Stegostoma tigrinum: one gene and its partners. The protein of the gene in region 3 purifies or fractionates together with the protein of the main gene of each other region. This does not show direct contact. Links are inferred from orthologs where the notes say so. Each region holds a gene or a part of one and is shown on either strand. Other genes may lie near its edges. The genes, in order: itsn1, ralbp1, ap2s1 and aak1b.

Region 1 (7,262 bases), on a different chromosome or scaffold from region 3:
AAATGAAGGCTACAAAACGATGTGTGAAGCAAGGTTAGTAAAATCATTGTGGTGCTTAAGCATTGCAAGTAGTAGGATGGAACTTCGCATTTAACTGAAATGTTTTCAGTTGGCTTTCGGACTTGCAATTTAAAATTGTACTTAGTTCATACGCAAAGATTTGGATTAAATCATAGGATCCCTATAGTGTGGAAGCAGGCCATCCACACGGACCCACCTTTATCCGACCCCTATAACCTATTTCACATGGCTAATCCACCTAACCTGCACATCCCCGCACACAAAAGGCAATTCAGCACAGTCAATCACGTAACCTGCGTGTCTTTGGACTGTGGAAGGAAACCGGTGCAGTCAGAGAGAAATGTGCAAACTCCACACAGACAGTTGCCTGAGACAGTACTTGAACCCAGGTCCCTGGCTCTGAGAGGCAGCGGTGTTAACCTGTGCCACCGTGCAGCCCAAAACTGATTTGATTATCTTCCTGATGTTTACAAAATCAATGCGAGTAAGTGCCAAGAGCTGGAAGACAATGTGGGAAAGTGCAAGCTCTCACAATTTGGTCGGAACAATAGAGGCGTAGACGGATTTGTGTGTGGGGAAATGCTTCAGAAATTTGAAACACAAACGGGTGTGAATTCTACTTCAGGATTCTCTGAAGATTAATACGCAGGTTCACTTGGCAGTTAGAAAGACAAACACAATGTTAGTATTAATTTTAAGACGGCGAGAAAACAAGAGCAGAGGGGTGTTGCTGAGGTTACAGATGGCTCTGGTCAGACCACTTTTGGAATAGTGAACAGCTTTGGGCCCTGTTTGGAAGGTTGGATATGCTGGCCTTGGAGAGGATCCAGAGTTGGTTTACAAAATGATCCCCGTGATGAAGAACTTGTCAATATGAAGAGCAGTTGAGGACCGTGGAGTTTATATAAATGAGGTGGGATCTCATTGAAACTTACAGAATATTGAGACACCCGAATAGAGTGAACGTTGAGATGATGTTTCCATTAGGAGAAACTGGAGCCGAAGGGCACAGCCTCAGACTTAAGGGACGATCCTTTAGAACTGTGATGAGGAGGAAATTCTTCAAAACAGAGACTGGTGAATCTGCGGAATACATTGCTGCAGAAGGCTGTGGTGGCCAAGTCATTTTAAGTCTATTTAAGGCAGGGATAGATAGGTTCTTGATCAGAAAGGGGATCAAAGGTATGGGGAGAAAGCAGGAGAATGGGCAAGAGAAACACATCAGCCATGATCAAATGGTGGAACAGATTCAGCGGGCCACATGGCCTAATTCTGTTGTTATACTTACGGTCTGAAAGAATTTTTCAGTATTAATACTTAAAAAAAACACAAGATTCCTAGGGAAACTTTACTTGGTTCACACAACACTTGAAAATCTCACTTAAAAACATAATTGTAAAATAATGTTTTGTGCACTCTACATTAATTTTATTTGAACTATTAGAAACAAGTATCTTTGTGTTAAAACTCAGAACACTGTATGTCAAAGTTTAGATTTCATAACCTTTTTACCAACATGATAAAGCTTTTCTTTTGCAATTTACTGAATATAACTACATGCAAATAAGCATGCACACAATGTTATCACATGCAAAATAATCTGATTACAGATCTATTCGAAATCATTGCATCAAAATCTTCCAATTTCATTACCACTCAGTCAAAATATTACTATAGAATAAATCATACTGTACAGTTGATTATTTGCTAAGACTTGCCAGGTTACATTGTCAGTTGCATCACCATGATTAATGACCACTGTTCTACATTCTACAAAAATCTCAAGGTGGTTGGCTATTTTGCTGAAAATTCATAATTTATAATCTATTCGATACAACGTTAAAATTTCAGATTCCACTGAAAACAAACAACATCTTCAAAATGACAATCACTACCAAATTTCAACAAACAGCTAGCTTTGCTAACGTTTAGATTGTGTTTCATTAACAGAGAGGATCAGGCTGTTTTAGACCATATGAAAGATTTTTTTTAAGTATTGGAATGGCCGCGAACCGACCGCGAATTTAGAAACCATCCAAACCTTTAATGCTCTTGTTTCATTCGTTTATTCCCTCATCTTCAAATAGCATAAATCAAACAGTAGGCTTGGATTTTTCGTAGTCTGATTTAAATGTGGCTCCATATGTTTCATTAAAACGGCAGAAATATCTACAATACTTCGGGGTTTCAAGCCCTACTCTTCACAATTTCACAAAATAAACGTCCTGTAGCAAATAATACACTTGATATCAAGGATCGGTAATGTGGTAGAAAACGAATACGACCCTCCTTTCTTGTAATGATCCAAAAACACTTGTATCAGATTACACTTATTATTCCCATCTCCCTGTGACCAATCCGCCCTGCAACAGAGGAGCTAGAAAGGGGAAAGGGAGGCAAAGGGAATAAAATAATCTTCACCCCCATTACTCTTAATCAATGCATGGTCCAAACGAAAAGCCAGGTAATTAACGAAAAAAAAATTCACTTCGACTACAACATGCAGCAAATAAGCTCATCAAACTCTCCGCACCTCCCTCCACGGTAACTGACTTTCCTCTTACTTTTAAGGTCTGCCAGCAAAGCGTCTGTTTCAAAAGGCAGATTGCTCAAGGCTGAGCAGCGGTGAGTTACCACAGTGTGTATTAAAGGGAGACATGCCTGCAGCAAGCAGTGCCTGAAATAACAGGAGGCAGTCATCCTTTGGCTGTAGGGAGAGCCATTGCAGGAGCTACAAACCGTGCAGCTTACCTCATCTCGGAAAGCGCCGGCGGAGGGTCGCTCCCCAGCGGCGGCTCCACGGCCTTCACCACCCCCCAAGAGTAGAGATATCCTTTCGATCTGCCGGCTACTGGGTGTGGGTGAGACAAGGAGCCGCCTCTCTCTCTCTTGCGTCTACGTCTGTCTCTCCGCCCGTTGCCTAGTGTCTGAAACTAACGCACTCACTCTTTCTCCTTTCTCTCTCTCCCCGCCCCCCCAAGCCGTACGTTACCCAACGCGCCCGCGCAGCCAAACGGAAACGACTCACCGCAAACTCGTTGACTGACAGGAATAGCGTCCTATCGAAGAACGCGGCGCCGTCCATCCCTGGGTGATCCAATCGGCAAGCGTCCTGTGAAGCTGCTCCTCCCCCTGGAAAATCCGCCTTGCTTGCCCCTCGACCTAACTCGTTGCTTTCCGCAGCGTGGCGGCCCATTTGAGTGACAGCCGTTGTGACCATAGAGAGCGCGCATGTTCATGTCGCCCTGCCGGAAGCAACGAACAGGGTGTGAGCAGGTGGGCGGTGCTTGCTGTTGATGTGTCATCGGGTTAGGTTGACTCCGTGCCCGTGACGACGCTTTGGCTGTGATGGGCGCTTAAGTTATAATTGAAGGTAGACATTTAACTTCACCTGTCACCGCTGCTCCTTTCTCGGTTTTATAAAAGCTCACTACTCCAACCGTATTGAAGCAATTATTAGTGCTATTTTTAAAGCATATGTTTTAAAAGATTAAATAGAGTGGATGGAGTAAGGACCATAGTAGTAAGTATTGTATTTCCCTATCCTGTTTCTATTTGTACACAAAGTATTTAGGTCATTTCTGAAAAAGGGTCCCGATCCGAAACGTCAACTTTCCTTCTCCTCTGATGCTACCTGACCTGTCCCTCCAGCTCCACACTGTTGTCTTGGTCGTAGAATATCCGCAGTGTGGAGACAGGCCATTCGGCCCAACAAGTCCACACCGATTCTCCAAAGAACATCCACCCCATCCCTGTAATCCTGCCTTTCCCATGCCTAATCCGCCTGCTTAATTTACATATCTCTGGACACTATGGTCAATTCAGCATAGCTAATCTACCTAATTTGCACATCTGTGGGAGGAAACGCACGCTGACAGGGGGAGAACTCAACACAGTCGCCCGAGGGTGGAATGGAACTCTCGACCTGGAGCTGTGAAGTAGCAATACTAACGACTGAGCGACCAGCCGCCATGTCGTTTGTTTCAAATTATCAATGCAAAATGTTGTATTCCAAGAACGTTTTTGTTGTATACAATTGCCCATGAAACAATAATTAGTATTCTCAACGTTTCTTGAGACTTTTTTTTTGTACCTGGCCTTTAGTTTCAAGATAAATGTTGTAGCATCATGTAAGTTTTGTTATTTAGCCTGACAATCTAATGTGTAGGTTCTGCATGGCTAAACAAAAAACCTCAAAAAGGCAAATGTTTTTATTTTTCAAACTGCTTGTATTAATTGTTTACTTTCTACAGATAGTGATGAAGGCAAATCCCCATGTTTTCCCCAAATGATGTGATTTATAAGGGTGTCACATTGTTTTATTTTGTCCTGGTGAGACTCTTCAGAGTAATTTGTTCACTTATCATCACATTCGAAACATTATATACGTTAGCAGAGGACTGTGAGGTTGATTCATGAACTTATATGTCTCAGTTATAATGAAAGATTGTTTACCTTGTACATTTCTGAGAAACAGAATGAGAGTGGAATAATAAAGTCCTGGAGAAATATATCAGGTCTGGCAGCATGTTGACTTGATGGTAGGCCACAGAGCATGGCGGTGAGGGGTTGACTTTTGGACTAGAGGCCTGTGACCAGCAGTGCTCCTCCAGGGGTCAGTGCTGGGTTCACTTTTGTTTGTTATTTATACAAATAATTTGGATGAATATTTAGGAGGCATGGTTAGTGAGTTTGAGATGACACCAAAGTTGGTGGTATAGTCGACTGAAGAAGGTTATCTGAAATTACAAAAGCATCTCCGTCAATTGGGCCAATGGGCTGAGGAGTGGCAAATGGAGTTTAATTTGGATAAATGTGAGGTGTTGCATTTCAGTAAGATGAACAAGGGCCCTGGGTTCTGTTTTAGAACATGATTGACCTAGGGGTTCAGGTACATAATTCTTTGAAATTTGCATCATAGGCAGACAAGATAGTTAAGGCATTTAGCAAGCTTGCCTTCATTGCTCAGACCATTGATTATAGGCGTTGGGACATCATGTTGAGGCTGTTGGTGAGGCCACTTTTGGAGGACTGTGTACACTTGTGGTTGGCATGCAATAGGATGGATATTATTAAAGTGGAGAGGGCTCAGAAAAGATTTACCAGGATGTTGTTGGGACTGGAGGCTTTGAGTTACAGGGAAGGCTCGATAGGCTGGGAACTTTTTCCCTGAAGCGTAGGAGGTTGATAGAGGTTTATAAAATCATGAGGGGCTTAGATAAGGTGAATAGCAATGATCTTTCCCCTAGGGTCAGGCAGTTCAAAACTAGGGGGCATATTTTTAAGATGAGAGGAGAAAGATTTAAAAGCGACCTGACGGACAACTTCTCTGCACAGCTGGTGGTTTGTATGTTGAATAAACTGCCAGAGGAAGTGGTAGATGCAGGTAGAGTTAGAATGTTTTAAAAGACATTTGGGGACACACATGAATAAGAAAAGTTTAGAGAGATATGGGCCAAATGCAGGCAAGTGGGTCTAGTTTAAATTTGGAAACTTGGTCGCACAGACAAATTAAAACAAAGGGCCTGTTTTCATGCTGTATTATTCTGTGCAAGCTAAGTGGATTGGCCGTGCTGAATTACCCATAGTGTTCATGGATATGTCGGTTAGGCGCATTAACCATGGGAAATGTAGGGTTACAGCGTAGGGGGTCTGGGTCTGGGTTTGGGTGGGATGCTGTTCAGAGGATCAGTGTGGACTTGTTGGGCCGATTTGCCTGTTTCCACACTGGAAAGATTCTATGACTCTGTATCTGGAAGCAGAAACAGTTAATATTTTGAGTATGATAAAACTTGTCAGAATGGGAGTGGACTTTGACATTGGTGTTCAAGGCCGTCACAGTTAAAGAGAATTTAGATTCCGGGAAATGATTTTGGTAGTTACAGATTTAAGTAGCAGGAATACAACAGGATCTGAAAAGAAACTCTGAAATTTACTCAACTTTGAGTTGGGTGAAACAGAATATTGGTGAAGTTAGTAGAACAGAAAGAAGAAATTGTATTTCTTCAGCAATCAATCCAGTATCTCAGAAGTGCCGTACTAATAAATATTTTTATTCAACTGTTCGGGCATGTTGGAACACATGCCATGCGTAGGTGGAATTTGAACCAGGACCTTCTGGTACAGAGGTCTGGATGCTACCATCACAACTCGGGAGCACTTAGTAGAGCATGATTTTGATGGACTATGGACTCAGCACATTTCTACTACACCACTCTGCTGTCGAAATGATGTTGTTAGAAACTGCGGCAGCCAATTTGTGAATGTAAATACCCATAAGATGGGCTAGTTAGCTTCGATGGCTTGAGAATGGTGCAGAGGCACACCAACATTATCCTACCATTTGAGGATATTCTTGGGGCCTGTGCATCATGATATCAAGGCATAACTTCCAACTCTCTAGCAATGAGAAAGTTGCATAGAGGGAGAGAGAGAGAGATCAGAAGCAGAAATGAAATGATGAACAGACGTAGCTTGAGAGATAGGTATTGGCCAAAACATGGGTGAAATCCAGTAGTTTGTAGTCATTCTTTTAAAAATAGTTTTGTGGCAGTTAGCTGAATTCTGTTATCAGCTGCTACTCACTCAGCTGCCCTAGCTGAAATAAGTGGATGGGTTTTTTGATAGAAATGAACTGTATTCTCTTCAATATCCACCTAAGTTTTTGGGAAACAGGCAAGAAAGTGAATTTGAGGCGAGGATTAGATAAGCCATGATCGAATAATATAGCAGATTCAAGGGACCAAATGGACCCCTCCTGCTGCTATTACTTCATATGTTCACAAATGTATGAAACATTTACCTATCCTTGCTTAGTTGGCTAGCTGCTTTGAATGTGATGGTTTTCCTTGTGATATCGATGTTATATTTGCCCTTTAAATTGCTGCTACGCGCAGTAAAAAAATTTGTTGTCTTTGTCGATGTACATTGACAAAGTGGCCTGTAAATGAGATTAATCTGTGCTCAGTCCTGTGACTGGACTGTAAATGTACTAGCTCTGTTCTTTATCTTGGCAGTTATCCAGAAGAAGCAACATGGAACTAAGGGTATTAATATAACTTTGAATCAGGTGGCAACCATTTAAATATCGTAGTCACAGAAAAACATGATCAAGTTGAACGGAGAGGCATATAATTCCATGAAGATGGACAAATCAGAAAATTGGCCTGAATGTAAAAACCAGCAACAAGTGACTTAAAAGAACTAAAGAGAGAATGTAGAATATGAAAGATTACCTGGAA
Region 2 (7,882 bases), on a different chromosome or scaffold from region 3:
CTGTTTTTGTTCCTAATCTAACCAACGTATGACTCGAGACCCACAGCAATATGATTGACTCTTAACTACCCTCTAAATTGGTCCAGCAAGCCAGTCAGTTCCTAGGCAATAAATGCTGACCTATCCAAAAATGCCCCATTCCAGGAACTTTTTGTTAAAGTGAATTTACATAGCATCTTTCACTGAATAAAACATCTCAACATGCATCCAATAGACATTCTAAAACAAACTGTGACACTTAAGCCATGCAGGGAGCTATTAAGGCAAATAGCCAAAGGCTTGGTCAAACACACAGGTTTAAAAAGAAAATAAGGTAGAGAGCCAAACAAGTTTGGAATGGGAATTCCAGAACTTAAAATCTAGGGAGATGAAGCCCAGCCACCAATGTTCAAGTGATTTAATTAAAACAAAGTACAGTTAGGTTTTAGGACAGAAAGATTAGATAGGATTAGATAGGAAGACAGACCAAGCTATGGATAGATTTGAAAGCAAGAGTTAGAATCCTTGATTCTCAGACAGCATTCTGTTCAAATGGCACCAGATTCAACATCTTCAATACTCAATCCTTTCATCACTGACACACAATGGCAACAGTATGTACTGCTGTAATTCAACAACATTGAGTTTAAAAAAATTTCATCTTGGATCTAAGTGGCATCCCCTTTTTTTTTTAAATTCTGCCATCTGACTCTGGATTCTCCAGCCAGGGAAACATCTTAGTGCACTGACACTGTTTATCCCTTTAGCTATGTTACAAATTTCAAATTTCAAATCTCCCTTTTTGAAATTAGAGAATACAGGCTGTTTCTCAATTTCCCTTCACAGGACAGTTCCACAATCCTGGGAACAAATCTGGTGAGCCTTTCTACATCCACACTTTCCAAATACTTACCTTTTAAATTCTGCACAGCTGGTTTCCCTACCAAACTGGATAACTTCATATTTTTCCACATTATCTTTCATTTGCCATGTTCTTGACCATTCACTGTGCAAGTCCTCCTGAAGCTGTTTTACATCTTCCTCATAACATATATTCCCACGTAACTTTGTATCCTCTGAAAATTTAGAAATATCACATTTGGTCCACATCTCCAGATCAATGATACATATTGTGAACAGTTAGGGCCACAAGTACATCCGTCTCCTGGACTTAAATCTTCTCGCCAAGTAATTGAAAAATATTCCTGCTCATCCAATATTGGATCTTAGATAAGCAATGACAATTTACAGACAATGGAGAGAGGTTTACATGGCTGAGTATCACTGTGTACTCTTATAAATTGGCTTGGTTTTGGAAGACCTAACAGTGGGGAAGCATAGAAATGAGGTGGTGGTTTTAGAAAGGGCAGACCAGAGAGTAAAGGGATGTAGCTCACTCTACCAATCAAGATCAAAAATTAGCCATAACGGATGGCATACCAGTTCAAAATGGTAGCTCTGTTTCTCTCTCAACAAATGCTGTCAGACCTGCTGAGTTTCTCTGACATTTTCTGTTTGTTTCAGAAATCAGTCAGGTTAGGAATCTATGGTACAAAAACTGAAACTCAGCAGGTCTGACAGTATCGATGTGACAAAGCAGACTTAACATTCAAGTGAATCAAACTCTTCAGAGGAACCAACTGGTAGCAGCTTGTGATAATATTAAAGTGCTTTAGCACAGCAGATTCCAAAATAGTGCCTGATACACACATCATAACATCACACACAAGAACAATTTTTGTCTAAAGCATATTTCATATATCATTAAAAATCAAGGTGATTGGAAAAGATTAGTTGAATAGAAAAAGTAACAAATCCTGAAGTGCTGAGGACATTAGCAAAACATAATTCAAAAATCATTCAGAGACTGGTCGAGGCTCATCTTAAGTGAAACTAGTTAGGATTGAGCTCACTCTGCCATTGTTTTAGCCACTCATTTCATTTTTAGCAATTAATGAGACACAACAAAACAGTAACTGCACTAATACCATCTCAGATCCCAAACACGATAAATTTCAAGGCACTCTCTCAACAGACTGCAAGATCCTAACCCCAAACTCCAACTTGACAATACCGAACTGCAGCAGTAATAGTCAGAAGCGACATTTCAGTAAATTCACTACATATTCGGTGAAACTGTCAAATAGGCTCTTTTTCTACCAACAATGCATTCCTCCCCAAGTCAGTCATTCATTCTTTACTGCTGTGGAAAGACGAGATATTTTTCAGCTACATTTGCAGCGTGAAAAACAGATCACAAGAATCCCAAATCAGCCCCATGCATCACACACAACTGCAAAACACTGTTTCGAGTAACTGGCTTTTTACTTATGAAGTAAATAGACGAGTGAAACAGCCGGCAGCAGTGTGCAAATGAAGTAAATAGCAAGGATTCTGTTCGGTTATTTGTTAAAAAAAACCGTGCATTTAAACTCTTCTCTCCCCCGTCCACTTTAAAACAGTCTGGTTTAGTATCTAGGGTGGAAGATAGAAGGAGGAAAGGTTACATCAAATGTAAAGAAAAGGATCCAGATTGCAGCTGATAGCCATAGTGAGTGCTATAAGGTGGAGGACTCTATAGGAAGGGGTTTTAATCTGGAAATTAATAACACGGTGCTAGGGAGGGGAACAAATGCGCCCCGGACCACAGAGTAGTATCGCTAGCGCTCCGGGGAACTGTATGGGATCGGGATGCCCCTCTCCTAGGGTTGGGGGAAGGGAGTACGGGTAAGATCGCCGCGGGGTAAGTCATCCTATATCAACAAGGTCTTCTGCTCCCTCCCGGCCACGGCCTTCTTTCCAAATCAAGGCCGGTGATGCCAGCGAGGCCTAATCTACGGTCTTCGCTCCTTCCGTTCACATCACCTCTGGACTTCAATATTTGAAAAAAATACCGGCCTCCATGAAGGATAAATCCTGCACCTTTACCTCATCTTAGAGCAGCCCCGATCCAGGAATCGCAGCTCTGATCCTTGGCGACATACCAAGCCGCCACCGGCCGCGGCCCTGCAGCTGCTGGACGGGAGAGGAGGGGCCCACAGGGCTCGGCGTCGCTGCGCAGGCGCCAGCGTGCGAGTTCCGGCTCGGGCGTCGCTGCGCAAGCGCCAGCGTGCGAGCTCCGGCTCGGGCGTCGCTGCGCAGGCGTCAGTGTGCGGGCTCCGGCTGGGCCACTGTGCGCAGGCGCCAGCGTGCGAGCTCCGGCTCGGGCGTCGCTGCGCAGGCGTCATCGTGCGGGCTCCGGCTGGGCCACTGTGCGCAGGCGTCAGTGTGCGGACTCCGGCTCGGGCGTCGCTGCGCAGGCGCAGAGATCGAAGCGTCTTGCAGCCTTCGGTCACGTGACCTTTCTCGACTGGATCCTGGGACGAAAAAAAACCAGAATTTGCTGGAAAAGCTCAGCAGGTCTAACAGCATCTTGAGGAGAAAATCAGAGTTAACGTTTCGGGTCCGGTGACCTTTCCTCAGAACGCGTGGGAGAGAGGTGTTCAGCCTCCCACAGTTATCATTTCGATGTATCAAAACGTCCAAGCAAGCAGTTTTAGAGAGAACAAGGTGTGGAGCTGGATGAACACAGCAGGCCAAGCAGCATCAGAGGAGCAGGAAAGCTGATGTTTCGGGCCTAGACCCTTCATCAGAGGGAGGGGAGAGGAAGGGAAAAGGAGAGGAAGGGCAAGCAGTTTGTGTGTTGCACCTCGTTCAGTTCCTATCCAAGCGAAGGTGATGGCTTAGTGGTATTATTGCTAGATAATAAATCCAGAGACCCGGATAATGTTTTGTGGACCCACTTTGAAACCATGACAGAGAGTGGAATTTAAATTCAATTTTTAAAAAAACCTGGAGTTAAGAATCTACTGATTAAAAATCATTGTCAACTGTCAAAAAAGCACACCTGGTTCACTAGGTGTGAACGTTTCCTTTCCTTTCAGGGAAGGAAATCTGCCATCCTCACCTGATCAGGCCTACATATGACTTCAGACCCACAGCAATGTGGTTGGCTTTCAGTTACCCTTTGAAATATCCTGGTAAGCCATTCAGTTGTACCAATCACTCCAAAGTCTCAAAGAAATGAAACCAGATGGATCACCTGGCATCGACCTAGGTTACAGAAAAGACAACAGCAGAAACAGCCATGTCGACCCTGCAAAGTCCTCCTCACTAACATCTGGGGATTGGTGCCAAAATTGGTAGAGTTGTCTCACAGACTAGTTAAGTAACAGCTTGACATAGTCATACTCACAGAATAATACCTTATAATGTACCAGATATCACCATCCCTGGATATGTCGTGTCTTACTGGCAGGACAGACCCAGCGCAGTGGTATACAGTTGGGAGGGAGTTTTACTCTAGATCCCATGAAGTCACATGGCTTCAAGTTAAATACAGGCAAGGAAACCTCATACTGATTACCACCTACTGTCCTCCCTCAGCTGATTGAATTGGTACTCCTTCATGTTGAACAACACTTAGAGGATGGCAAGGGCACAAGATATACTCTGGGTGGGGGATTTCAATGTCTACCACCAAGATTGACTCAGTAGCAGCAACACTGCTGGCTGGGTCCTAAAGGACATAGCTGCTAGACTGGCTCTGCAGCAGGTGGTGAGAAAACTAACAAGAAGGACAAATGCACTTGACCTCATCCTTACCAATCTGCCAGCTTCAGATACATTTTTCCATAACAGTATCGGTAAGAGTAACCACTTGTGGAGATGAAGTCCAGCCTTCAAATTGAGAGTAACCTCTCTGTTGTGTGGAACTTTCACTGCTAAATGGGACAGACTTCAAACAGATCTAGCAACTCAAGAATAGAGGCACTGTGGGCCGTCAACAGCAGCAGAATTTTACTCCAGAACAATCTGTAACCTCATGGCCCAGCATATCCCCCACATAACCATTACCATCAAGCAAGGTGATCAACCCTGGTTCAATGAAGAGTGCTGGAGGGCATACCAGGCATACCTGAACATGATGTGTCAATCTGGTGAAACCACCAAACAGGACTGCATGCATGCCAAACAGCATAAACAATATGTGGTAGACAGAGCTAAGCGATCCCACGACTAATGGATCAGATCTAAGCTCTGCAGTCCTGCTACATCCAGTCGTGAATGGTGGTAGACAATTAAACAACTCACTAGAGGAGGAGGCTCTCCAAATATCCCCATCTTCAATGATGGAAGAGCCAATCCCATCAGTGCCAAAGATACAGCTGAAGCTTTCAGAGTAGTCTTTAGTCAAATGTGCTAAGTAGATGATTTTTCTCAGCCTTGTCCTGTCATCCCCAGCATTACAGATACCAGTCTTCAGTCAATTGGAATCACTCCACATGATATCAAGAAACAGTTGGAGGCACTGGATACTAGACACTACAGACCCTTACAACATTCCAGCAATGGTACTGAAGACTTGTCCTTCAGAACTTGTTGCACCCCTAGCCAAGCTGTTCCAGTACAGTTACAACACTGGCATCTACCCGGCAATGTAAATAATTGTCCAGGTATGTCTTGTACGTGTAAAGCAGGACAAATCCAACCCAGTCAATTCCTGCCCCAGCAGTCTATTGTCAATCATCAGTAAAGTGATGGAATGTGTCATCAACAGTGCAATCAAGCAGCACCTGCTCAGCAATAACCTGCTCAGTGACGCCCAGTTTGGATTCTACCAGGACCACTCGCATTTTGACCTCATTACAGCTTTGGTTCAAACATGAGCAAAAGAGCGGACTTCCAGAGGTGACATAGGAGTGTCAGCCGTTGACATCAAGGCTTCATTCGACTGAGTGTGGCATCGAGGAGCCCTAGCAAAACTGGAGTCAGTGAGTACCGGGGGACAGTTAGAGTCATACATTACACATAGGAAGATGGTCATGGTTGTTGGGGGTCAGTCATCTCAGCTCCAGGACATCTCTGCAGGAGTTCCTCAGGGTAGTGTCCTAGGCCAGACCATCTTCAGCTGCTTCATCAATGGCCTTCCCTACAGCGTAAGGTCCAATGTGGGGATGTTCACCGATGATTGCACAATGTTCAGCACCATTCGCAACTCCTCAGACACTGAAGCGGTCCATGTTCAAATGCAACAAGATCCGGACCAGATCCAGGTTTGGGCTGACAAGTGGCAAGTAATATTTGTGCCACAAAAATGCCAGGCTATGACAATTACCAATAAGAGACAATCTAACCATCGCCCCTTGGCATTGAATGGTTTTGCCATCACTGAAACCTCCACTGTCAACATCCAGGGCATTACCATTGCCCAGAAACTCAGCTGGACTCATCACATAAATACAGTGGCTACAAGAGCAGGTCAGAGGCTAGGAATACTGCAGTGAGTAACTCACCTCCTAACTCCCCAAAGCCTGCCCACCATCTACAAGGCACGAGTCAGGACTGTGATGGAATACTCCACGCTTTCCTGGATGAGTGCAGCTCCAGAACACTCAAGAAGTTTGACAGCATCCTGGACAAAGCAGACCACTTGGATGTGAAACACAAGCATTCACTCCCTCCTCCACCAATGCTCAGTAGCAGCAGTGTGTACAATCTGCAAGAAACACTACACATTTATCAAAGATCCTTTGACAGCACTTTCCAAACACATGACCACTTCCATCTAGAAGGACAAGGGCAGCAGACATATTGGAACACTGCCAAGTTCCCCTCCAAGCCACTCAGCACCTTGATTTGGAAATATATCGCCGTTGCTTCACCGTTGTTGGGTCAAAATCCTGGAATTCCCTCCCTAATAGCATTGTGATCAACCAACAGCAGGTGGACTGCAGTGTTTCAAGAAGACAGCTCACCACCACCTTCTTAAGGGGCACCTAGGGATGGGTAAGAAATGCTAGCCAGTCAGCGATGCCCACATCCCACAAAATAAATAAACAAAAAAAGAGAATTCCCTGCAGCTACATCTCTGTAATCTGTCCAAATCATGATGAAATTCACTTCAGATAATCAGAGGAAAGACTCTAATCATGGCCATCTTAATGCTTCAAAGCGAAAGAAGAAACTGCATCTAATTTCAACACATTTCATGTCCTTTCACAGTCATGAACAAAGTGTTTGGTCATCGAGAGAATGAAGAAAATGAAAAGAAATTCGATAAGAAATGGTTTCCTGATTTGTAACTGAGTTTCATCTCTTCTTGGGCGTCAGCTAGCAAGTCACTGGGGAAAACATTTACACCCACAGCAGTGGAATCTTTAAAATGGGTAGGAAACGATTTAAATTTCATGGAAGGAATCAGCAGTGTGGAAAGGGACTGCAATGTGGAAACAGTAAACTGCACATTCTGCTGCAGTGTATCATGGAAGGAAAGATCAAAATATTCACCTCCTTACTTCCCACTGCAATGACCATACCCAATGCCAAGGAAGGGTAGTATGAGGAAAATATGCTTTGTCAAAAAATTACTGAGGGACTGGATAATTTCACAGAAGAATCAGAGCGCCCATTGAAATAAGTATTTGTGTCAAAATAGAACAAGAAGCCTTTGTTTTAAAAAACTATCATCTCCAGATCTAGTCAATAAAAGCACCAATTTTTTACCACACAACCCAGCAGCTGATCTCAGCTGGAATGATCCAATTATCCTCAGTGCAAATGACATACAAAAGGAAACAGTAAAAACTCTATAAGACCATAAGAAGTAGAACACTCAGCCCCTCAAGCTTGCTCCTCCATTCAGTAGGATCATGGCTGATCCAACATTCCTCACGTTCATTTTCATGCCTTTCCCTTTTAACCCTTGATTCTCCTACTGATCAAGAATCTATCTGCCTCAGCTTTAACTATACACAAGGAGTCTGCCCCCACAGCTTGCTGTAGCAAGGAATTCCAAAGACTCTCAACCTTCTGAGAGAAGGAATTCCTCCTCATCTCAGTCTTAAATTGGCACCGCATTCTT
Region 3 (7,438 bases):
ATCTCTAATTGCCTAAAGGGCAGTTGCGAGTCAGCCACATTGCTGTGGGCCTGGACTCACATGTAGGCCTGGTAATCAGCAGGCACAATTCCAGATTTTTACTGAACTTAAACTTGACCATTGCTCTGCTGGGTCTCTGGATTACCAGTCCAGTGATAATACCACTAGGCCGTCACCTCCCCTGCATGATGGCGTGGAAATATTACATGCATCTGAAATACAGTGCTCAAAAATTCATATGGTTCAACAATACATTTAAAATGGCATCATGTTAAGTGATATTACATGGGAATGATGGAGTCCTTCAAAAAAAATTTAGTTTCAAGTATTAAACTCCAGAATAAAAAACTACTAGCTCACTTTTCAGTTCACTAGCTGGAGTTCTAACCTATAATATATGCAGATTTAATTCTGTTCTTTTACACAGTCTCCAAACTTGAACATGAACACACATTGTGAGTAGTCCACAGACAAGGACTTGCGCTGTGACATTCTACATCAATTATTTGTGAAGAGTACTGAAGATCAGGATTAAGCTGTTGATTTGAGGACTTTGGGCTCAGCAGGAGACAGATGAAATTTGAGGTAGGAGGTATAGATTAGGTGATTTAGCAGCAATGCATGGGAGGTGAGTGGGTGGTAACAATGTGGTAGTGGGAAATAGAGATGGATACATTCAATTTTTGGAAATACAAGAAAGTAGTTTTATTAATAGGATGTGCGACAGTAGCAAACTGCAGTGTTATCATCATGGCAAAGTTCAGTCACAGTCACCACAAACCTCGAAGGCAAGAAGGCGACCTGTCCACCCCTGGGAATCCATTCTTAGCAGGTGAAACAGCAGAAGAGACAACACTGATTTCTGCACCTAAACCCTCTTCCAAGTCCCTTGGTAATGCCGTATTTGTCAGGTAGCAATCCCTCCTGGCTAAAAAGGTGATAATCAAGAAATCATATAGGAGAAAATTCTGCAGGCTGTAATGCGGAGTGTCTTCATGCAACCCATCAGAAACAACTACCATTAATTCTTTGTTTTAAATTCAAATAGTGATTAAAATTCTGATCTGTGAATGATTTTTTAAAGCAATTCATTGGCCTTCATATTAATTTATTGCAGTATTTTCAAAAATTATATACACTGCTGCAAGGTTATTTGGTCTAATTGATTTTTCACATTCTAACTTCCAAGAATTTAAAAATATGAAGATCAAGATAAAATCATTACAGAAATCAACATGAGAAAATGCCAAGATTGATCTTTGAAGATTACAAATGATTTATAGTTCAGAATGGAACAGAGCCTCTTGCAATTGGAAGATGGCTCATGTCTGCAATTCCTGCTGCATAAACATTCGTCAGTGTAATTTTTCAGAGGCAGGAGGAAGAAAAAGTGAGAGAGAGAGACACATTCTAAGTTAAAAGCGACAAAAATAAAAAGGGATCCAGAGGTTAACGGCAAACAGAATAGAAAAACATCAATAAATGAAATCTAATTCATTAAATATACAGTTCCAATTCTTACAGGGCACGGTTCTACGGCTGCTAACAAGGTCATTCCAGATGCATGAAACTCGCCAGGGAACTTCTGCAGCCTATCCATTCACAGCAATCATCACAACTGAACCTTGAAGCTTTCCTCGCTCACGTCTGTGCACACCCATGTTTCATTGAAAAGCAGCAGTGAAACTACCTGAATATACCTCTGCCCCCTAGAAGGGCAGCTACTATCATGACTAAGGATGGCTTACTCACCACAAGCCACGAATCCTGGGCCTAACTGGTTACATTAAGTTTACAGCTTTCATACTGGCACCTTACACGCACAGGATTTTCCATTTTGTCATGTTAAGATCAATGGAACAGCTCAAAAATCGTGAGGGGGTTTTGATACAGTTACTTAGGTTATTGGCACTGATGGCGAATTGGTAACTGATAAGCATAAGTTGGTCAGCTCAAGAAAAATTATAATTAAATTTGGAGGGGGCTAAATTACACTCACTCCATTAGATCTTACTGGCAACACTGTCTAAAAATAATGCAGTAGATGGGTGGATTAAAGAAACCTTTGTAAAAGGACAGAAGAACTCAGTTTATAATATCACTCCAATTCTGATCTCTTAATGCCTTGTAATACAATCTGGAGAATCCCTCCACCATAGTTCACTGAATCATGAACATAAACAATTCCCCTCACCCCAGCCCATAAAAGTATACTTCGATATAATAAACCAGAAGTCACTCTTTTGGATGCATACCACAAACATGTGCTTAACGCAATGGATACCAACATGTCAAGGCATATTCCACATATATTCAAAAAGGGGGAGGAGGGTTCAGACAGAGTTTGTAGACTTGAAGTCACTGCTTAAACACAGAGTGCACCATGCTCATTAAAAGCAGAAATCACTACATCCGTGAACGTACTATGTTTTATGTCAGCACATACATGCTCTTTAACTGAAAAAAAAACAGAAAGAGAAAGAAACAAGCCCATTCACTTTTTTTTAAAAAAAGCCAAAACAATTTTTTCCTTCTATTTCAGCATCTAACCCTTCTCAACTTTTAGGAATGGAATAAATAGAATGAGAACTTAATATTCAAAATTAATCAATAATCCATTATCCGGACACAGTTATATCTTTATCACTTGTATACGTATTGAGTTTTAAGTCTTTCTTAAAACTAGATTGCCTTGAAGCTGCTCAAACATTTTTTTCTGCAAAAAGCATTTTAAATTATTCTAGGTGCTGCATGTTAGAGGTGACAGCAATATGCCCAAGCAATTAAAAACTAACACCGTAAAATGCAAACAAAAGTCTGAAACAGATACATTTTCTAAACTTTCCTTACATAATCCTACTAATTGTTAAAATTCATTCATTCAGGGAAGAGAAAGGTGTCATTCATTTTTATATGTTTTAACAATGAAAAAATGAAATTAGTTCTTCAACACGTATTGACACATGGATTACTCAACCACATCAAGTAGTCTAAAAAATTTTATTCCATTGACTGCTCTCAAAATACATGTACAAACCAAAAGACACCAGCAAAAATTCCCCCGAAATATTTCCAACGAAATAAATGCTGGGAGGCCAAAATCAGAGAGAAAGAGCAGGTTTAGAATACAAATTAAAGATCCACTCAATGGGAAGAAAAAGAGATTGTAGATGGAAACGTGAGAGATGAGAAAGAAAATAAAACATCTCCCTACCTTTGCTTTCTTTCCACAAGATGAGGCAAATAATAGACACAGGTTTGTTCCTGGGTCTATCTTAAAATTTATGGTCAGCAGACATCTTGTTTTCCTAAGGAATCACAGGACAGATTTGGAGGATAGGGAATGTATGTGGATTAAAGTAATGTGGTTTTTTTCCCCAAACCCTCTCTTTTGCTTTCTCTTTGCTCTCGTTCCTCTTGCAAATCTATGACCGGACAGAAATGGCGGATATTTCTTCCGTACTCGTTCCCTTCAACAACTTTTTCTCTTTGCTGCTGCTAGATTCCCCCCAGGAGTAGACATCGCCCATGATGCTTCTCAGGCCGCCATGGAGGCGCAGTGATTCGATGGGTCAGGTGATCTCTCCTCCTCCAAGAGACAAATATATTTTTCTTTCCTCCTCCTTCCCGATCGTCAAACAATTAGTCAAACATCAACAAAAATCCACCTCCGCACACACCATTCGATAGGCCCCGCCCGATTTTCACTCAAAATTGCCGCCTCAACTATCCCCCTCAAAATAATACTTTAAAAAACTGGCCTCACGACAATGAGTACATTTTTTCACCCCCTTCCCCCTCGCTCCTCCACCATCGTCGTTTGTTTTCCCAACCAAGCTTGATGATTTCATTTTTTTAAATCCCCGCCTACCCTCTCTAGGCTTCCATTGGGCAATCTCCAAGGAGACTCGGATTCCATTGGACATTGATCACGTCAATCAGGTTCGGCGTCCATCCAGCACGTTAGGTTGTAGGCCTCCGGCGGCTCTGAGGGTGGTGGTGGAGCTGAGGGATGTGGAAGGCGACAGCGCCGGATCGGAAGTTGGGTGTGACCGAGGGTGCCGGGAATTGTAGTCTCATCTCCCTAGCTGTATACAGCTTTTGCATTATTTAATTCACTCAGCATTACAATGAATTGTAATGCAATCGTATTCCTCGATTAGTGAGACATCTAAATGTCGATGAGTCACTGCTAGGCTTGATTAACATGGCTAGAATCAAGAGACAAACTTGAGAGTCATTTTCGTGACCTGGGACTTCGTTTGTGTTTTTATAGTAACATCTCCCGGTGAAAAATATTTCCTTAGCATTCCAAAAGGGACGCATTGTGATAGATTTGAATTGTGGTGTTATTGGGAAAGAGAGGAGGAAACGGCCGGGCGCGGATGGAAAGAACTACATTCCCCAGCGTGCCTTGGGTGAGGCTAGCGCATGTGCGGTGGTGGGCTGCGGGTTCTGACAGTCAGCGGTGACTGAAAGGGAGAAAAAAAAGTGTCCCCTCTGAAATAAAATATCATATGTCCCGGCAAAGGGAAAGAAATAAACTCCCATAAAACACAGCTTTTTATAAAAAGAAAACCACACCCAAAAAGCAGAGTCGTAATGGTAAGTAGTGATCTTTTTTTAATTTCCCCATTTCGAAATAGATTGAATGTAGGATGAGGCCTAACGTAAGCCCAGCGATGAAGGGTTTTCTGTAAATTATAAAAATAACGCAAATGAATTAACAAAAGGTGGGTAATTCTTCAAAAAGGCAAACCTTAGGATTGAAATGTTTGCTTTGGTATCTTACAGCCACAGAGTGAATACTTATCGTGAAATAGAGGCCTTGTCGCTTTTCCCTTGCTTAAAGCATCCACTGAGTGTTTTTATGTCGTAAAAGTCAAAAATGGTACAGGTATAATTGAGCTTTTGCATTTTCAAAGGAGCAGTTTTTTGAAGGTGGTAGCCATAATTGACAGGTTTCAACTATCAGGAAAAACTGAACAGGTTTGGGGCTGCTTTCTCCAGAGAAGAAAAAAAGCTTTGGACGACCTGGTAAGGTTCTTCATAAATGTGAAAGGTTTTGTCAGGGCAGATTTCGAGAAGATGGTTCTACATATTGCTCAGACCAGGTCACGTGGGCCATATGTAGATAAGGTGGTCACTGATAAATCCAACAGGAAAATGACTTGGCCCAGAGAGTGGTGAAAACGTTAAACTCACGTTTCTAAGGGTCACTGGACACAATTCAGATTTCTCTCCAGGGATGTTGCCAGACTTGCTGAGTTTTGCCAGCAGTTTCTGTTTGTGTCACTTTCATAAGGCATAGCTGAGAATAATTTAACTGAAGTTCATAAAAATGCGAGGACAAAAGGAATAGGACAATCTTTTGAGGGGGTTAGAGAAGAAAGGATTGAAGGAACCTTGGATGGAGTGTAAACCCGGGTATGGTCCTGTTAGGGTGAAAATGTTTTGATTTTACATTTGCTTTGTAAATCCGAAATGCATACCAAATGCTAGAAATGTGCATTAGGTTTTGTTTTTAGGGAACAAATTTATCTAACAGGTCCATGATAAAATTGATTTATTCTGAGTTTTTTTATTTTGGTTCTGATACTTTAGTTATGCTTCCATAAAATAAGGGAGGACATGCAAATTTGTTTCTTTCCCTCTCAATTTTATGGATCATCTTGAGAGAGCATCTGAAGAAGACCAGTTAGTGTTTTGGAACTGGACCATACCTCTAAATTTTAGGACCAAGAACTTGACTTCCTTTGGATCTGCATATGTTCAGGGTATCTCGCAAGAAATAAACTAAATTTAATGTTTCGGTAGGAAAAACTAATGATATTACGTGAAAAGTTCTAGTGTTTGCTATTTTCACAAAGAAGCAAGTAATTGAATTAACAACCAGTTAATAGATTTAGAAACAGTACAAAGATGTGTAAATTACTTTAAAGCATAGGCAAGGATACCTCAATTTAGGAGACAGATGCATAGAATTTGAAAGGTCAAAGGAATGACAGCAGCCACAGCAATTTATATTTCAAGAGAAAAGGGTGTTGATTGGATAGAAAGTGGATTCTGACAGTCAGGTGTTGCCATGAAGAAAGCAATGAAGATATGACAGGTTCCCTGATCTTACAGATAATTCAAAGGCGACACAAGCATTGAGCATATTCTTTTTGTTTGCAGAGGATGGGCCCCTGTATATATGAGAGTGTGCATTTGAGCTTCAAACTGATGAAGCATGTTGGCAACCTACATCTTCCTTGCTCTGTGACCAAATGTAGGAATTGTGTAGTTTTGCATTTCAGTAAAATATTTGATTTTCCTCTATCCCTAAGGAAAACATCCCCTCTGAGGAATTACCAGAGATCAACAAGCTACATCTGGGGAATTGTCAGACCTCTTACCTTCACAATTCCTTTGCATTCCTTGAAATGGCAAAGTAATCATGATTATAATCTTAAATTCTCTGTCAATGTGATGGGACCTAGGCAAAGGGTTTTTGTTATGTGGCTTACAGTTGATCTGTATGCATTGCGTCTTCTGTCCCATACCATATGTGCACTCAGTTGGAATATCTACATTGCTTTCAAATTATTGCCCTTGGATTTCTTCTCATTTCTGGGGCAATTCTGCATTTTCTTCCATCCAGTTACAAAAATTAAGAATAAATTGGGCTATGTCCTATTCCCAAGTTTTTTTCAAGTGGATGTGGTCAATCACTGTTTGATATATCTGGTACCTGGGATGAAGAAGTTGTCCTATAAGGAAAAATTGAGGTATGGGTGTTACTGGTTGAGCATTGCACATCACCAGTTGCCCTTTAGATGGTGGTGCGCTGCCCCATTGAACTACTGAAATCCATTTAGTGTAGATACAACCACATGCTGTTTAAGAGGCATTCGACCTTGCAACATTTTCTATAGTGTTAAATCTGCTATGGGGTTGCATTTGATAATAGATTGTAAATTTTTTCAGAATGGAGTATGAATTTTATTTGTATAGCTGAAGACATTTTGAATAAAATCATTCATTTTACCTGGATTTATTTTGAATTTACACTGGGGACATATATTTCATAAATGGAGGCCATTTTCGCAATATACTTCAGCAGCTTGGGTAACTATATTCCAGAATATTTTGGGATTGTCGTTAAAGTAATACCACTTTATCTTTTATCTCCAGATACAAGTACAAGTCTTGCTCAGTCTAATATAATTTAAGTATTCTCATTACAGGTTAGAATGGTGAGTTTTAACCTTGTTCCCAAAGACTAAGAGCGCAAAGCTGACTGTCAGTCAATAGGGAGTCATAGAATGGGAATGCTTTAGAAGTGTCCTGCTACAGTCACAGCTGATGCAGGCTGGGTCAGTTGGTGCTAATGCTAGGTTTCAAAAATGAAAAAGTTTTATTTTCTCATCTCTTATCCTGATGATTAAAAAAGCTC
Region 4 (7,073 bases), on a different chromosome or scaffold from region 3:
TGATATTACTTTAGTCTTGATAATAAGATTAATTAATGAAGCAATTTTGGGACCATTTATGAGATATCCAGTACATTGGGATTATTGGGTCTGTAATCTTCAGATAGCTGTGTTAATAATAGTAGGATTGCTGGATCAATAACATTGAGTTATAGGATCAGTAACAATGGAATTGCTGGATGGGTACTGAGATTTCTGGATCACTGCTACTGGAATTGAGGCATCGGTCAAACTGAGATTTAAAACATGGTTTTGGGATTGCAGAATCAGTAATGTTGGGAATCCAAACTCAGAACTGGGACTTCAAGATCAGTAATATTGGGAATGTACAATCAGCAATTTTGGAAATATAGGATCAGTGATAATAGAATTGCAGGAAATTGGCATTGCTGGGTCATCACACTTAAAAATGCAAAATCAGTAATATTGGGAGTGTTTGATTATTATAGAGAATGCAGAACACGTGATATTGAGATAGCAGTATTGGGATTTGCACATCATTAATTTTGAAATTTCTGTTTCAGTATTGATGAAATTGCAGGATCTGTTTTGTTGAAATTACAAGACCAGTAACATCAGAACTGCTGGATCATAATATTTAAAATTGCAGGATCAATAATAGAGAGTGCTGGATCAGTCTTGAAAATGCAAGATACATTATACTGAAATCACAGAATTGGGACGGGCACATGATTAATTTTGGAACTGCTGAATCAGTATTGATAACGTTGAAATTATAGCCCATATATAAAAGTAGGATTGCTAGATCACTACTAATGTAAATGCAGGATCAGTAGTAATACTTAGAACGTAAGATTAGAAGTATTGGGATTGCAGGATCAGTAATCGTAGGATTACAGCATCAACAACAGTGTGATTGCTGGATCAGCTATAGTGGGATTGTAAAATCAGTAATAGTAGGTAGGATTACTGGAACAGTAACTGTGGTATGGTGGGATCTCAAAAAGCAAAAATGTTGAAATTCCAGGATCTGTAATAGTGGGATTGCAAGGTCAGAAATATTGATATTGCTGCTGATTTGTAATCTTGATATTGCTGGATCATTAAAGTAGGATAGCTGGATGTGAAATAATGTGAATATCAGATAATTAATGTTATAAATGTAGGATGACTAGTTTCAACTTGAGGGATAGTTGATGCTAAATTTGCTGGATCAGCAAATGTGGGATTGCAGGATCATTAACAGTGGGAATGCTGGATCACTGATGTTGAAATGGCAGGATCCACAATGTTGGGGTTCTGGGTCAGCAACAGTCAGACTGCAGGATCACTAACACTAGGAATGCTGGGTGTTGAAATGGCAGGATCTATAATGTTGGAAATTGCTGGATCAGTAGCACTGGGAATACCGGATGTTGAAATGGCAGGATCCGAAATATTGGGATCGCTGGATAATCGATGCCAAAATTGCTGAATCGGCAACAGTGGAATGGCAGGATCAGTAATTTTGAAATGGCAGGATCAGTAAGGCTGGGAATGCTGGATCACTGATGCTGAAATGGCAGGATCAGTAGCATTGGGAATGCTGGATCACTGATGCTGAAATGGCAGGATCAGTAACACTGGGAATGCTGGATCACTGATGCTGAAATGGCAGGATCAGTAGCATTGGGAATGCTGGATCACTGATGCTGAAATGGCAGGATCAGTAACACTGGGAATGCTGGATCACTGATGCTGAAATGGCAGGATCAGTAACACTGGGAATGCTGGATCACTGATGCTGAAATGGCAGGATCAGTAACATTGGGAATGCTGGATCACTGATGCTGAAATGGCAGGATCAGTAACACTGGAAATGCTGGATCACTGATGCTGAAATGGCAGGATCAGTAACACTGGGAATGCTGGATCACTGATGCTGAAATGGCAGGATCAGTAACATTAGGAATGCTGGATCACTGATGCTGAAATGGCAGGATCAGTAACACTGGAAATGCTGGATCACTGATGCTGAAATGGCAGGATCAGTAACACTGGGAATGCTGGATCACTGATGCTGAAATGGCAGGATCAGTAACACTGGAAATGCTGGATCACTGATGCTGAAATGGCAGGATCAGTAACACTGGGAATGCTGGATCACTGATGCTGAAATGGCAGGATCAGTAACACTGGAAATGCTGGATCACTGATGCTGAAATGGCAGGATCAGTAACACTGGAAATGCTGGATCACTGATGCTGAAATGGCAGGATCAGTAACACTGGGAATGCTGGATCACTGATGCTGAAATGGCAGGATCAGTAACATTAGGAATGCTGGACCTGTAACTAGAGTCGCAGATTTTCAGTATCAGTAATATTGGGGTGGCGGGCTTAGTATCATTGGGGATGCTGGATCACCGGTGCTGAAGGGGCAGAGCCATCCCTCAACACTTGTCAACGCCACGGCTCCCTGCCTCCATCCCCCACGGTCCATGGCCGCTCCTCACCTTCAGCCACCACCTCCTCCACAGTGACCTGCTGCCGGCCCACACTGAACACCCGGCCGATGAAGCCGCTGCCGGGGCATAAGCCGCCGCCCCCGCCGCTGCTGCCGCCTCCTCCTCCTCCACCTCCACCGCCGCCGCCGCCGCCTCCCGAACCCGAGCCCGCCGCCTCCCGCCGGGAGTCGAAGAATTTCTTCATCACTCGGCGATCACTCTCTGTCTCTGTCTCTGTCTCTGTCTGTGTCCGCCCCGCCACCGACCCGCGCGGCCGGGCAAAATAGAACAATCTCGATATATATATTTTTTAAATGTACGTGGTGTCACGGTAATAACGGCAACGAAAATGATAGTCGATCGAGCGACCGAGGGTTTAAAAACCGGGCCTTGCTTCCACCGCCGAGCCGGCCCGGTAACTGGGCTGGAGGGGGTGGGGGTGGTAAAGTGAAGAGACGGGGAGGGAATAACGGGGCGGACCAGAAAAAACAACCGGCTCCCTTTTTTTTCTTGTCGTTAACGCCGACATGAAAGCCGGACCCAAAGAAGGGAGACACAACGCGCCGTGACCCGGATGCGCAGCTGATTGGTTCGATCTCCTCCTTCTTTCTCCTCCCCCCGCCCCTCGGAACGGACCCGGAGTCCCGGCCGAACGGAAAAGACGTCGTTAAATGTTAGAAGAAACAAATCAAAATCTCGTTCGTTGTAAGGGGGCGGGGGGGAAGGTAAGAAAATATCGGCGGAATCCTTTTAACTGTTTATTTTTCAGGAGTTTGTACGCATGCGTGTGGGATTTGACGGTGGTGCGGAATGTTATGAAGAGGCCTGACGGAGATTGTAGTTTATAAAGTCAAGGTTGGATGAGCCAAAGGCTGGCGACTGTACTACAGTTCCCAGAGCACTTTGCGGCCACGCATGACTTCCGGCCTCGGGCGGGGCTCCAATTCCCGGCATTCGTTGCCCGTTGTCAGTTGCCGGGCTCGACGGTTTTCTCCTCAGCGAGTGGGCAGCAGGTCAGATTTGGGAATTGTTAAAATTATCACCGTAGAAAAAAAAACTTGGATATTCTAAATACACATTCAACTCTGATGAAGGGTCCAGGCCCGAAACGTCAGCTTTTGTGCTCCTGAGATGCTACTGGGCCTGCTGTGTTCATCCAGCCTCACATTTTGTTATCTTCAACTCTCTACATACGGCTTTGCTCTGTAAATTACTCAGTTGGAAAACCCAACGAGTGGTTCATCGATGATAAAAATTACACGGGTGATTTAGCGAGGGCGACCAAACCCTTTCATTTTAAAGAGTACTTCTGAAATGATGAAAAAATAAGTTAAAAATATGCATCTGTGCTTTGGATGTAAAGTCATTGGGGGAAAAGTTGACATTGGGTGGTTAATTGGTTTAAAACAAAACAAAACAAAACCGGTTCGGGGAGTCAACCTGCACAATGGTGTTAAAGAGCAAAGACACTTTTGGATATCACTAAAAACAAAATGGGCTTTGCATGTAAGTTAACAGGGAGAAATGATTTACTCGTGATGAATAGATGAAAAAAAAGCACGGGTGCCTTACAGACAATAGGTGCTGGAGTAGGCCATTCGGCCCTTAGAGCCAGCACCACCATTCATTATAATCATGGCTGATCATCCACAATCAGTATCCTGTTCCTGCCTTATCCCCATAACCCTTGATTCCACTATCTTTAACAGCTCTATCCATCTCTTTCTTGAAAGTATCCGGAGAGTTGGCCTCCACTGCCTTCTGGGGCAGAGCATTCCATATATCCACCACTCTCTCTGGGTGAAGAAGTTGTTCCTCAACTCTGTTCTAAATGGCCTACCCCTTATTTTTAAACTGTGTCCTCTGGTTCTGGACTCGCCCATCAGCGGAAACATGCTTCCAGCCTCCAGAGTGTCCAATCCCTTAATAATCTTATACGTTTCAATCAGATCCCCTCTCATCCTTCTAAACTCAAGTGTATACAAGCCCAGTCGCTCCGATCTTTCAACATATGATAGTCCCGTCATTCCGGGAATTGACCTTGTGAACCCACGCTGCACTCCCTCAATAGCAAGAATGTCCTTCCTCAACTGCACACAGTACTCCAGGTGCAGTCTCATCAGGGCCCTGTACAGCTGCAGAAGGACCTCTTTGTTCCTATACACAATTCCTCTTGTTATGAAGGCCAGCATGCCATTAGCTTTCTTCACTTCCTGCTGTACCTGCATGCTTGCTTTCATTGACTGATGTAAAGAACACCTAGATCTCATTGTACTTCTCCTTTACCTAACTTGACTCCATGTAGATAGTAATCTGCCTTCCTGTTCTTGCCACCAAAGTGTATAACCACACATTTATCCACATTAAACTGCATCTGCCATGCATCCGTCCACTCACCTAGCCTGTCCAAGTCACCCTGTATTCTCATAACATCCTCCTCACTGCCACCCAGCTTTGTGTCTTCAGCAAATTTGCTAATATTACTTTTAATGCCTTCATCTATATCATTAATGTATATCGTTAACAGCAGCGGTCCCATCACCGAACCCCATGGAACGCCATTGGTCACTGCCTGCCATTCCGAAAGGAACCCATTTATCGCTACTCTTTGCTTCTGTCAGCCAGCCAATTTTCAATCCAAGTCAGTATTTTGCTCCAAATACAATGTGCCCTAATCTTGCTCACCAATATCCTATGTGGGACTTTACCAAAGGCTTTCTGAAAGTCCAGGTACACTACATCCACTGGTTCTCCCTTGTCCATCTTCATAGATACATCCTCAAAAAATTCCAGAAGATTAGTCAAGCACAATTTACCCTTCGTAAATCCATCTCTGACCTATCCTGTTACTGCTATCCAAATCAGTTGTAATTTCATCTTTTGTATTTGACTCCAGCATCTTTTCCACCACTGACGTCAGGCTAACCAGTCTATAATTTCCTCTTTTCTCTCTCCCTCCTTTCAATTTGCCACCCTCCAATCCGCAGGAACTGATACTGAGTCTATAGAACATTGGAAAATAATTACCAATGCGTCCACGATTTCTAGAGCCACCTCCTTAAATACCCTGGGATGCAGACCATTAGGTCCCAGGGACTTATGAGCCTTCAGACCTAACAGTCTGTCCAACACCATTTCCTGCCTAATATAAATTCCCTTCGGCTCATCCATTACCCTAGGTCCTTCAGCCATTATTACATCTAGGAGATTGCTTGCGTCTTGCCTAGTGAAGACGGATCCAAAGTACCTATTCAATTCTTCTGCCATTTCCTTGTTCCCCATAATAAATTCACCCGTTTCTGACTTCAAAGGCCCAATTTTAGTCTTAACCATTTTTTTTCTTTTCACATACCTAAAAAGGCTTTTACTATCCTCCTTTATGTTTTTGGCCAGTTTTCCTTCGTACCTCATTTTTTTCTCTGCGTATTGCCTTTTTAGTTATCTTCTGTTGCTCTTTAAAAGCTTCCCAGTCCTCCAGCTTCCCGCTCATCTTTGCTATGTTATACTTCACTTTTATCTTTATATGGTCCTTAACTTCCCTCATCAGCCACAGCCGCCCCACCTCCCCTTAGGATCTTGCTTCCTCTTTGGAATGAACTGATCCTGCACCTTCTGCATTGTATCCAGAAATACCTGCCATTGTTGTTCCACTGCCATCCCTGCTAGGGTATTGTACCATTGAACTTTGGCCAGCTCCTCCCTCATAGCCCCATAGTTCCCTTTATTTAACTGAAATACTGACACTTCCGATTCTCCCCCTCAAACTGCAGATTAAAACGCATCATATTATGGTCACTACCTCCTACTGGTTCCTTTACTTCGAGGTCCCTGATCAAATCCGGTTCATTGCACAACGCCAGATCCAGAATTGCCTTCTCCCTGGTAGGCTCCAGTACAAGCTGTTCTAAGAATCCATCTCGGAGGCACTCCACAAACTCCCTTTCTTGTGGTCCAGTACCATCCTGACTCTCCCAATCTACCCGCATGTTGAAATCTCCCATAACAACTGTAGTGATACCTTTGTGACAGGCCAATTTCAATTCCTGATTCAACTTGCACCCTACATCCTGACTACTGTTTGGGGGCCTGTAGATAACTCCCATTACGGTCTTTCTAACCTTAGAATTTCTCAGCTCTATCCATACTGACTCTACATCTCCAAATTCTATGTCCCCCCTTGCAAGGGACTGAATATCAGTCCTCACCAATAGGGCCACCCCACCCCCTCTGCCCATCAGTCTGTCCTTTTGATAGCACGTATAGCCTTGAATATTCATTTCCCAGGCCCTGTCCACTTGAAGCCACGTCTCAGTTATCCCCACAACACCGCACTTGCCAATTTCCAACTGAGCCTCGAGCTCATCCGCCTTATTTCTTATGCTTTGTGCATTCATGTGTAATATTTTTAATTTTTACCCTTCCTATCAATCACTATTTCATTTGGCCATACTGTACGATCCCTTGAGTTTTCTGCTCCGTTGATTCTGTTGTCTTTCTTAACTTCTCTTATTCTGACTTTCCCTTTAACTTCATTCTTAAATTTCCAGTTTGTTCCCCCCCCCCCCCCCCCCCCCGCACCACCACCGACTACTTAGTTTAAACACACCTGTGTTGCAGTGGCAAACCT

What was found.
Region 1: the proteins of ap2s1 (region 3) and itsn1 purify together in Homo sapiens (co-immunoprecipitation; 3 studies listed by BioGRID and IntAct, counting the BioPlex papers as one, with this or other methods). This does not show direct contact. The link is inferred for Stegostoma tigrinum from reciprocal best matches to the Homo sapiens genes AP2S1 and ITSN1.
Region 2: the proteins of ap2s1 (region 3) and ralbp1 purify together in Homo sapiens (co-immunoprecipitation; 3 studies listed by BioGRID and IntAct, counting the BioPlex papers as one, with this or other methods). This does not show direct contact. The link is inferred for Stegostoma tigrinum from reciprocal best matches to the Homo sapiens genes AP2S1 and RALBP1.
Region 4: the proteins of ap2s1 (region 3) and aak1b purify together in Homo sapiens (affinity purification with mass spectrometry; 4 studies listed by BioGRID and IntAct, counting the BioPlex papers as one, with this or other methods). This does not show direct contact. The link is inferred for Stegostoma tigrinum from reciprocal best matches to the Homo sapiens genes AP2S1 and AAK1.

Annotation. Positions count from the first base shown.
Region 1 is NC_081365.1:20,945,883-20,953,144, reverse strand, and holds the start of itsn1 (intersectin-1), read right to left. Parts: upstream 3,017-7,262; 5' UTR 2,773-3,016; intron 2,663-2,772; exon of another isoform or gene 2,586-2,662; intron 1-2,585. UniProt on the Homo sapiens protein: Adapter protein that provides a link between the endocytic membrane traffic and the actin assembly machinery. Acts as a guanine nucleotide exchange factor (GEF) for CDC42, and thereby stimulates actin nucleation mediated by WASL and the ARP2/3 complex.
Region 2 is NC_081358.1:114,693,930-114,701,811, reverse strand, and holds the start of ralbp1 (ralA-binding protein 1), read right to left. Parts: upstream 3,024-7,882; 5' UTR 2,908-3,023; intron 1-2,907. UniProt on the Homo sapiens protein: Multifunctional protein that functions as a downstream effector of RALA and RALB. As a GTPase-activating protein/GAP can inactivate CDC42 and RAC1 by stimulating their GTPase activity.
Region 3 is NC_081392.1:11,809,187-11,816,624, forward strand, and holds the start of ap2s1 (AP-2 complex subunit sigma), read left to right. Parts: upstream 1-4,420; 5' UTR 4,421-4,602; coding exon 4,603-4,605; intron 4,606-7,438. UniProt on the Homo sapiens protein: Component of the adaptor protein complex 2 (AP-2). Adaptor protein complexes function in protein transport via transport vesicles in different membrane traffic pathways.
Region 4 is NC_081393.1:6,533,624-6,540,696, forward strand, and holds the start of aak1b (AP2-associated protein kinase 1), read right to left. Parts: upstream 3,017-7,073; 5' UTR 2,652-3,016; coding exon 2,456-2,651; intron 1-2,455.